Linked DNA regions of Bombyx mori. The protein of the gene in region 2 purifies or fractionates together with the protein of the main gene of each other region. This does not show direct contact. Links are inferred from orthologs where the notes say so. Each region holds a gene or a part of one and is shown on either strand. Other genes may lie near its edges. The genes, in order: pre-mRNA-processing factor 19, U2 small nuclear ribonucleoprotein auxiliary factor 2 and cleavage and polyadenylation specificity factor subunit 6.

Evidence for each region.
Region 1: the proteins of U2 small nuclear ribonucleoprotein auxiliary factor 2 (region 2) and pre-mRNA-processing factor 19 purify together in Homo sapiens (affinity purification with western blotting; 3 studies listed by BioGRID, with this or other methods). This does not show direct contact. The link is inferred for Bombyx mori from reciprocal best matches to the Homo sapiens genes U2AF2 and PRPF19.
Region 3: the proteins of U2 small nuclear ribonucleoprotein auxiliary factor 2 (region 2) and cleavage and polyadenylation specificity factor subunit 6 fractionate together in Homo sapiens (co-fractionation; 3 studies listed by BioGRID, with this or other methods). This does not show direct contact. The link is inferred for Bombyx mori from reciprocal best matches to the Homo sapiens genes U2AF2 and CPSF6.

Annotation. Positions count from the first base shown.
Region 1 is NC_085116.1:17,083,935-17,086,786, forward strand, and holds the end of pre-mRNA-processing factor 19, read left to right. Parts: intron 1-135; coding exon 136-312; intron 313-917; coding exon 918-1,159; intron 1,160-1,467; coding exon 1,468-2,098; 3' UTR 2,099-2,199; downstream 2,200-2,852. UniProt on the Homo sapiens protein: Ubiquitin-protein ligase which is a core component of several complexes mainly involved pre-mRNA splicing and DNA repair. Required for pre-mRNA splicing as component of the spliceosome.
Region 2 is NC_085123.1:10,727,710-10,731,472, forward strand, and holds the start of U2 small nuclear ribonucleoprotein auxiliary factor 2, read left to right. Parts: upstream 1-1,261; 5' UTR 1,262-1,386; coding exon 1,387-1,402; intron 1,403-1,476; coding exon 1,477-2,049; intron 2,050-2,325; coding exon 2,326-2,408; intron 2,409-3,482; coding exon 3,483-3,605; intron 3,606-3,715; coding exon 3,716-3,763. UniProt on the Homo sapiens protein: Plays a role in pre-mRNA splicing and 3'-end processing. By recruiting PRPF19 and the PRP19C/Prp19 complex/NTC/Nineteen complex to the RNA polymerase II C-terminal domain (CTD), and thereby pre-mRNA, may couple transcription to splicing.
Region 3 is NC_085120.1:8,928,808-8,932,570, reverse strand, and holds the start of cleavage and polyadenylation specificity factor subunit 6, read left to right. Parts: upstream 1-1,295; 5' UTR 1,296-1,389; coding exon 1,390-1,455; intron 1,456-1,569; coding exon 1,570-1,773; intron 1,774-3,763. UniProt on the Homo sapiens protein: Component of the cleavage factor Im (CFIm) complex that functions as an activator of the pre-mRNA 3'-end cleavage and polyadenylation processing required for the maturation of pre-mRNA into functional mRNAs.

The DNA.
Region 1 (2,852 bases), on a different chromosome or scaffold from region 2:
ATAATGTTCAAACGTATAATTTCAATTAATTATAGTCGAATTTCGACTACTGCGGGACCACCAGTATAGACAAGTAGCTACCCTAATGTGTCACTGATTTTAGATGCATCATTTTAAATTAATTATTTTGTCCAGACGGAGGCGTCAGCAGGCAGTGCGGGAGCAACAGGCATGTCTGCGGACGTGGTGTCTCGTCTGCAGGAGCGCGCCACCGCACTCACGCAGGAACGGAAGCGCCGAGGCCGCACCCTGCCCGAGGGACTGCTGGCACCAGAGCAGATCAGAGCATTCCTCACTCTCGCATCGCATCCTGTATGTATCTAGCGCTGTGCAATAATAGCCTTTCGAAATAAGTAAACAATAGTTACCTCTAGAAATTATAATAGGGGGTCACAAATATAAGTGTGGGTGGTGAAATGCTAAAACACTCAGTGTACTCATATTGACTATGCTGAGGTGAAAGTTTCCTAACAGGTACCAATTTTTCTAAGAAAACACTTAAGTGTCCTAACATATGTACAGGAATTAATTGGATTAAGGGATAACATTATCGTGGTGGTCGCACTTATTGTAACACGACCCAACTGACTTCACCATGAATTAATGGGTATCAATTGGAAGTGTGGGACACTCTTTCTACTATAAAACTAAGACTTAGACCTCATATGTTTGTGTGGGTTGGCACCATTCATGTTGTGATATCCCATGCTCCAGTGACCACTTACACCAGTTGGGCCGTGAAATCGCAAATAAAATGTACAGAATTTGTAAAATTGCATATTTACTACTATATTGTGATCCAACACACTTCTAGAAGGGACTTCAGTCATGCACTACAATTATCTAAAAGTAGGGCTGACATACTTTGATAATGGTTAAGTATTTTAATTTTTTTATATCATCTATGTTATTTTCAGGGTCTTCATTCAGCCAGTGTTCCTGGTATCCTATCTCTGGACATCAATCCATCCGATCACAGTAAACTTTTGACTGGAGGAAACGATCGTAACGCAACAGTCTTTAATAAGGATACTGAACAAGTTGTGGCCATTCTCAAAGGTCACACCAAGAAAGTCACCAGGGTTATATACCATCCGGATGAAGATACGGTCATCACAGCCTCACCAGATCATACCATACGGGTTTGGAATGTGCCAACGTGAGTATGGAGATACCAAAAGAATGATATGGAGAAAATTTTGCTTATTTACCTAAACTCCGTAAATGTAAAAAAATCAAAGGTCATGTTCATTACATAAAGGAAATCTGTGATTTTTTTTATTATTTTTATTTACTACTGGGAATAGGCAATAATGGATTTTTTAATCTGTCTTGGGAATTAGCTTCTTAATCAACCATTGTAAATCAACAGCTAGGTGCTTACATTAAAATATTCAAAATAATTTCATTCAACTAAGTAAAATCAAATAACTATTACGTTATTTATTTATCTTGAAATTGTTTCAGATCTCAAACAACGGCAATACTACGTTCTCACGACGGTCCAGTGACCGGCCTGTCCCTGCATCCAACCGGAGACTATGTACTCTCAACCTCTTCAGACCAACACTGGGCGTTCTCAGACATTCGCACCGGACAACTTCTGACAAAAGTCAGTGACTTTTCTGGAGTGAGTCTCACAACTGCACAATTCCATCCGGACGGTCTCATTTTTGGTACTGGAACGGAAAACTCACAAGTGAAGATTTGGGATCTAAAGGAGCAAAGCAATGTAGCCAATTTCCCTGGTCACGTAGGACCAGTTACTTCCATTTCCTTCTCGGAGAATGGGTACTATTTAGCCACAGCTGCTGAAGACTCATGCGTTAAATTATGGGATTTGAGAAAACTAAAGAACTTTAAGACCATTCAGTTGGAAGAAAACTATGCTATCAAAGAGTTGTGTTTCGACCAAAGCGGTACATATTTAGCCATAGCCGGTACTGATGTGAGGGTCTACTTGTGCAGACAGTGGCAGGAATTGAAGGTGTTCAATGATCACACTGCTTCGGCCACCGGTGTCAGGTTCGGAAAGAACGCACAGTATCTCGCTTCCACCAGCATGGACCGGACGCTCAAACTTTACGGGATAGAATAAGAATAGATATAAGTTTAGATGGATGGCTCGCTTTTTAATTGCTGTAAAATGTGCATTTCAAATTAAAATGTAATAACTGGAATTAAAATCTTCAGATATTATTTCTGTTTCCTTACATTGGGGTTCAACGCATCCATCACTCATGCTCTTGCAAACCTCACCTAAATTATATCAGCAGCAATCATGATTGCCTGAAAAAAAAAAAAGTTCAATTATGTTTTCAATGAAAAATAATAATTGAACAATCAGTGTGTGTTCAGCAACTACTCTACTCGTTCCTGAGCCGCTAATGTTAAGTGCTTTTATTGTGTTTATTGTTTCAACAGAACAAAGTACAAATTATACAAATACTGTTATGACTATTATACCGGTCACTCACATTCGCACGAATACGCAAACCCACAAGTGTAGGACGACATTTGCAAAGTATTATGCAAAGTTTTCGCTGCATTCGTGGTTTTCGAAGCTGTGTCGGTTTTTAAAGGACATCAAAGCGCGCGAACTGCGATCCTTCGCGAAGTCTCCCACACATTCGTGTGACCATTTGTGCCCACGATTGCGAAGGTAACGGACGTTTCGCCATTTTCATAGTACGTGACGTCTACTGTGTAGCGCACCTTCATCATGGATTGGAACAACACCAAGGTGATGGAGTTCATTGAACTCCTGCAAAATGAATCGACCATATGGGAACCTCAAAAGAAATCCCATAAAAACAGCATGGCTGTTAATGATGTCTGGGAAAGAATTCAAA
Region 2 (3,763 bases):
GTTGTTTTTTTTTTTTTTTTTACGGTATTTGGTAACCATACATGGTTTACAAATTATTACAATTTTGGTGGCACTCAGTGCCTCAGTGCCGTCGGTGTCTTCAATTGCCCCCCTCTGGATTGTGCCAGATGTTACGGACTATGATTGTTTATAATGTTTGGCTTACCTTTTGTACGAGATCGTGACAAATAGGATTGTAGCCCTCCGAGGGACTGAATAGATTTCAATTTACTATTATCAAACAAAAATTCCTCAATGAGTGGCGCGTTGGCAACAGGATACTTTGTTAGAGACCACGGAAATTAAACTTTGACGTCTTATTTCTATACATACGGCCCTTTTTTCCGTATACAATTTAAAACGCTTTTTACGGGTAACTTGTACGACGGAGACGATTTGTCAAAGTTTTCAGTAATTATGTTACAAAGATTATTAGTTTAAATCTGTTGTGTTTTTGTCAAAATTTCCGTATTGACGAGATCAATTTGTTTACAACAATTTTCGTTACATTCAATTGTTACACACAGTTGATGCATTATTAGATTTACAACGTCACTGACCTGGTGGGATAACGAGCCGATTCGAAGATCGACCGTTACCTTTGAATCCCGTCGTTTCTTACGCAGAGACTCCTTTTGTTCTTTTTCGCTTGACGAGCTGTTCGAACGCGAGGCGTCTCCATCGCGTCTCGCCTGGACATCTTCCCTCTCGGAAATTATGGAGCTTGACTCAACATCACCTCCAACAGATGACGCGTGATTCATGGCGTCCGATGATAGGATTGGTAAATAATACTCGTAATGATTGCAAAATAACACTCATAGAAACACAAAATAAATATTTTTTGCAATTAATAAGAAGTCGAATAAATATTTGTGGACTTGCGACTTCACAGTACGAAAGTACACAACGCTATGAAGATCAAAGATGGCTGCGCTCCCTTTATACTTGCTGGCAGCACCTAGCGGCTAAAGATGGAACTAAATTGACTGTCTATGGTTGGACATAGACAAGGAATCTAAGCTAAGTACACACTGCTTCTTCATAATACAATGCTGTATGTTTTCCAAAGGCACATCAATGATTAATTAGCTATCATTATTACACATTTATACTTGAGGAAACACCAGTTCTGCGTTCGCGTCCGAAATTTGTCCTAGGGCAAGCATAGGATTTTAGTGATGATTACGTATCAGGAAATTCACTATAGCATCATTAGCCAAAAGTCGAGTAACCAACGTCCGTATAAAAAAATAACAGACGCCATTTCACGGAAACTGACTTAGATTTTATGTTGATGCCAACGCTAATTATACTAATAACGCTGAAGCGCCTTTATTACTATCTCAAGAAATAGTTACTGTATTACATATTTCCGTAAATAAGATGGGGGAAGATAAAGGTAAGTAGTTCACATATCTATCTTGTAAAGTTTTGAAGTGAGGTTATAAAATAAAATGCTCACAAATATTACAGACCGCCGACGAAGGTCTCGATCCCGAGAAAGAAAACGTTCTAGATCTCGATCTAGAGAACGAAGAGAAAAAAGAAAAAGCAGATCAAGATCGCCCAATAAACGTTCACGTAGACGTAAGCCTTCGCTTTACTGGGATGTACCGCCGCCGGGATTCGAGCATATCACGCCATTACAATACAAGGCGATGCAAGCGGCGGGTCAGATTCCTGCCAATATTGTCGCCGACACACCACAAGCTGCCGTGCCGGTGGTGGGTTCGACTATAACACGTCAAGCGCGAAGGTTATATGTCGGCAACATACCCTTTGGCGTCACCGAAGAAGAAACAATGGAGTTTTTCAATCAACAAATGCATCTATCGGGCCTGGCCCAGGCCGCCGGCAACCCTGTTTTGGCTTGCCAGATTAATTTAGATAAAAATTTTGCATTCCTTGAATTCAGATCAATTGATGAAACGACACAGGCAATGGCTTTTGACGGTATTAATTTTAAAGGGCAAAGCTTAAAGATTCGACGTCCACATGACTACCAGCCTATGCCAGGCACTGAAAACCCAGCAATAAATGTGCCTGGTAAGTAATTATGATATTGTGATATTGTTATTACAAACAACTTTTCTTATAAAAATACATTTAAACTACATTAGAAGATACTATAGATTTATCTATCAAGTAATGAGTCTTGAACTCGATTGAAAGTGCTATTTTTTATTAAGAAAATGCAATATTTAAAATAAACTGAATTTTGTTGTTATAATTCTACAGCTCTTTTTAAACTCTTGAAACAGCATTAATTACAACTAAAATACTCATTACTAGTGTCTTCATTCAAATATTATTTTGTTACAGCTGGTGTTATTAGCACTGTTGTACCTGATTCCCCACACAAGATCTTTATAGGGGGATTGCCTAATTATCTAAATGAGGACCAAGTAAGTTCCTTGTTTTATCTATTAAAATTTATAGTTGAAATTAAGCATTCAAGAAACCATAATTTAATCACATCATGATCAAAATCAAGTTTGGAGTTTTTTAAAGCTACACATGGTTTTTGGATTAAAGTAGAGGTACTTATTTTCTGTATTTTTGATGTGATCAAATTAAGCTATTATTTATAAGTACTACTTACCAAAAAGTTTTTATTTTTAAACCAAATGAAAACTCAATTCACATAAATTATGGTTGATTTATGTTTCCCACTAAAAGAAACCTTTTGATAATAAAAAAATGGTTATATTATACAACATTCTTCTCTCATTGTGATTTGTAGAGTTGTGTGTTACAGGTTTTGACCAGACAAAATGGAAATAATAATTATGTTGGTTATGATAAACATAGAATTCTCTTAGATCGACAAATTCAAGTATTTTGGACTATAATAGTTATTTCAAAATCCTACTTTAGGTAATGTTAGGACATTAAAAGAACCATGAGTTTGTTCGTTCCCAGTAGGTAGTTATAGCGTACTAGATGCCGCAACAATTTCAGGCCGAGATTCAACAGTTGACAGGACTTAGGCCCCGGTGACGCCAGCAGTGAGCCGCGTTATGTTTTGGTCCGTTTCAGGTATTTTCAGGTACCCGTAGCGTGGACGAGCGTGTGCGTACCACGCTCGGATGTTCTCAAACAACTCACTGATATAGTTTGCTTTCTGCCCTCCCTAGCTTAGATTTGGCACATTCGCGGCCCGCGTGTCACTGTTGTCTCTCATTCTCATCTATACGTCTTGTACTTGAACGAGACATCGGCACTTCAAGGCAAGTCTCTTCCATTCACATCTGATTCTAACATGCGGCTAGACACAGGTCAGATAGCATAATTCACTTATGTAATTTGCTGCATTTTGATGAACAGATTTAATGGGAACACAACAATTCAAACATACAATACAAAAAACATTAGCATTAGAAATGTCTATGCTGATCATTATGAATATGTAACGTAAATTAATACAATGCTGGGAATTAAAAGATTATTATTTGCTCACTAATTTTGTCATGAAACAGGTAAAGGAATTACTCATGTCATTTGGTCAACTCCGGGCCTTCAATTTGGTGAAAGACTCTTCAACTGGGTTGAGCAAAGGCTATGCTTTTGCTGAATATGTCGACATTTCTATGACAGATCAGGTAAATAATCATTATGTCACCCAATTTATTAATTTATTGGCTTTTGCATAGTTAAGGCCAATTTAATTTTTAAAAAAACTTTAAATCATAAATTAATTTTATTTTCACAGGCTATTGCAGGTTTAAATGGAATGCAACTTGGAGATAAAAAGTTGATT
Region 3 (3,763 bases), on a different chromosome or scaffold from region 2:
TTTTGTTTTTATGTCAAACGAAGTAAGCACTCCAGTTAGGATAGTAACTCTATGGCTGCCAGATACTAAATTTAGAAAAAAATATCAAATGAACAATCGCGTAATCGCTTCGATGGTTTTTATCCTGTTACCTACCTATTTTGGTTAAAAAATTATCAAGAAATGATACCTTTTTCAATAGCTGATGACTGGTGCCCAAATTGAACATTTACTTCAATCCAGATTTACACCAGTTTTATGAACATATAGGTATGCTATGAAAGGTTTTAATGTATTAATAGAGTTTCAAGCAACGTTTCCAATAACTACTACAATTATCGTCCGTAGGATACAAATTATACATATCAAATATAGAACACCTTGATCAAGTTGACTTTTTTGTAATTGAGTAATTTTGTCTATAATAATATATAAGATCGCCAGAAATATCATCAAACATGTTTGTATTTTTAACACTCTTATTCTACGTCAGTTTCAGATCATTGCTCATTGGGTGGCAAAAACCAGTGCTTACTTTACTTACTGATCAAATGCGAAAGACAATTTGCCGAGAGTTTTCTCTTATGGCCTCCCCCGTACGTGTTTTTAAAAGTGTAGTTGGCTACTATTCATATTCTTTTAAACTTTTACTTTACTTTTTTTTGTATCGGTATAGGCTAAATCAGTTTCATAAGTAACAAAAGTAATAGTTATTTTCAATTTTAAACCTTCAACTATTACTTATATGTAGCTAATATAATTTTTTAAGCCTTAAACCTAAAAAATAATAGTTGTTTAATGTACATAATTTTTGTTTTTTTTTTTTTTTGTACACTAAAAATGTGCCCAAAATAATTTTGAAAACATTTTCAACACGACCATTTTACGTGGGAATTCGAAAATATTGTGTTAGCTTGGCAACATTGACCCAAATTCATGGGGTCGGGACTTTTTGGCGGGAACGCGAGGAGTGAAGTTGTGTGATTTGTTTTATTTTGTCTATTTAGTGTTTCTTCAGGTTTAAATGTGTAATAATGGTGGTTTATTAACTGTTTAATATCTGTGAAAGTGCACAAATGTGGGAAAATGAAACAAAGCTGCTGGACGTAACTTCTCGGGTTCCTCCAAAAAGTCCACTAAAAAAATCTCAGTAAATGACCACCATTTTACTGCGATTATATTTCATCCCATATCATCTCATTTCATTAAATTTCATCCCAGTTGATTAATGTCTCAAATTAATCATCTTCATTTCATTTCACTCCATATTATCATTTTTCATAAAATTAAGAAAATAAAGTAAAATAAGACATGACTTAAAGGTCTTAGTTACCAGGTCATAAAATCTCTTAAAAAAAAAATTTCATGGGGTCGTAAGTAGGAGGTAGCATTTTTTCACAACTTCGTAAAATGGCGGACGGCGATGTCGATATAGATTTGTACGCCGATGATATAGAATCCGATTTTAATCGCCAGGTAAAATTTACACTCTCCTAATTCAGTACACCTAAACCTTACAGATAACTCTTATAGAGAAATCGTAACAGTTGTTAATCTATTTTTGTCACGATGAATGGCGGCATTTTACAGGATGAATTTGCTGGCGAAAATGTGGATTTATATGACGACGTGATCTCAGCACCAGCTTCGAAGCCCGAGGACGGTGACGGTCCTCCCATCATTGCTCCAAACCAGCATCCACCTGAGGAAACTAACGGCAACGCCTCATACCACGGCCCGGTTCACGGACATCATGGCCGCCGTTTTCAACTTTACGTCGGCAACCTAACATGGGTTCGTACTTTTTTGTCCTAGACTATTTGTAAATATAAGTACGATATTAGTTTTTGCGTTGTACTGAAAAACTGATATCTTTTGAGTTGTCATCTCGTCTTTCAGGGCTTCATACTATCAATAATTATTGATTTGCATCTATTAGCCGCCATGCCATGATAAAAATAGCACATGCAATTGAATTTGAGCTATCGTTCATAAAGTTATTTAAAAAAAATGGTTTTTGGTTAGCATAAAGCTAGATTAAATAGTTTTTTGCGTTTAGTTCAAGCTCAATAATTGTTATTATGATGGCATGTTAACTTCAATAAAACAAAATATGAAGTACATACATTTATTATTGTGTATAATACATAAAATATAGTAAATAATAGCTAACAGTTTTATAGTAACAGATCTATGAAACTATGATAGTTATAATAAAACAACGTACTTGTAAATAATATATTTATAGAAATATTAAAGTAGTATGTACGTTTAAAAACAGAATGTGGAGAACTTAAAAACCTGTTCAGATGACAACTCAAGCAACAGCAACCAAATGGATCTGTTGTGTAAAATGAGTTACGAAATATTTAATTTTTAATATTTGTTAGGATCTACTTTTAATTTTGCAACACACATTTATCTTTTATACAAATGTTAACAAATTATGTTTAAAATTTAAATTCACAAAATCACTGCACATTAAGTTTTACTGATCACATAGATAAATGTTTGTTGTACTGAATTAATGAAACAAAAAGCAACCTATATCTTATATTATGTGTTAAACTAATAATACCAAGAAAATACTGTATTTATTTATAATTATTTTACAAAAAAAGGCACAGTCAATCTATATTGGTGAAGAGCTAAATTTTGATAGAAAACAAGTGTTTTTCCATGAAATTGTATTATGTACAAATATCAAACAAATGTGTGCTTTAATGTTTCACGGGAATTTAGTCTGTCCATAACTAGTAGTAGATAAAGGTGTGTACGGCTCTCAGTCTTAAATAATTATAAGTTAAAAAAAACAATTGTTAGTTTAAATTATCAATAAACCTGGAAAAAACTGTAACAATGAGGTACTTGTTAAATTGATTTAAAAATTGTTAAATTTGTTTTCAATTGTTTAAACATAGGATTAGTAATATAATGATAAACTTTGCGAAATACATAATCAGAAACTATAAGTGAATAAATATAATAAGTAAGCGCGAGACCTGTCATTACAACTGTTATGAGATTAAGCAGGAAATTGTATGTTTAACTTTAAAACTTGAAAAATCATCCGGTTTCAGTATAAAAATACTGTTAGTGCTATAATTATGTACTTGATCAATGTATCCTAAGATGTTTTAAAATACCAGTCTTCAAATACATATATTAATAATTATAATATATAGTTCAAATAAAATATTTTTGGGAAAACTAAAAAATAAAAAAAAGTTTGGATTTGATACTGGTACAATTCCATGGAAAAGCCCTTAATAAATTAGTACATTATTTGGTTGCTAATTGTTATCATTAAATATCACTTTATTAAAATTATATTTTTGTTGTTGATGATGGTAAGTATAAGAAAATTATACAAATGGTTGATATGCTGTGAGTTACGGATTTTTGTGTTTTAGTAAAATTTAACTTGGAACTTCATGTTCAAAGTCATGAACTTGCAGTTAAATTCTGCTAAGAAAAAAGCAAAAACCAGAATTTTCTTTATTTTTTACTTCATGATGAAGAAATGACTTGTTTTTGTTTTTAAAGGCTTGTACAATTACGATCTGTTGAGGTGAAACTGAAATTTTCATAAAAATATCACGAGCTTTACATGTCAAATTAGATCACTATTTTCCACTTAAACTTTGAAATGTATGTGACATTCACTAGAATTTTATTTTCTTAATGAAGTTGAGAAATTCCGAAAGGACAATTGAATATCAGAGCTATTTACAATCACACATGGTGATACAGTTTGAGTTACGGATTTAGAGCATTTACCGAT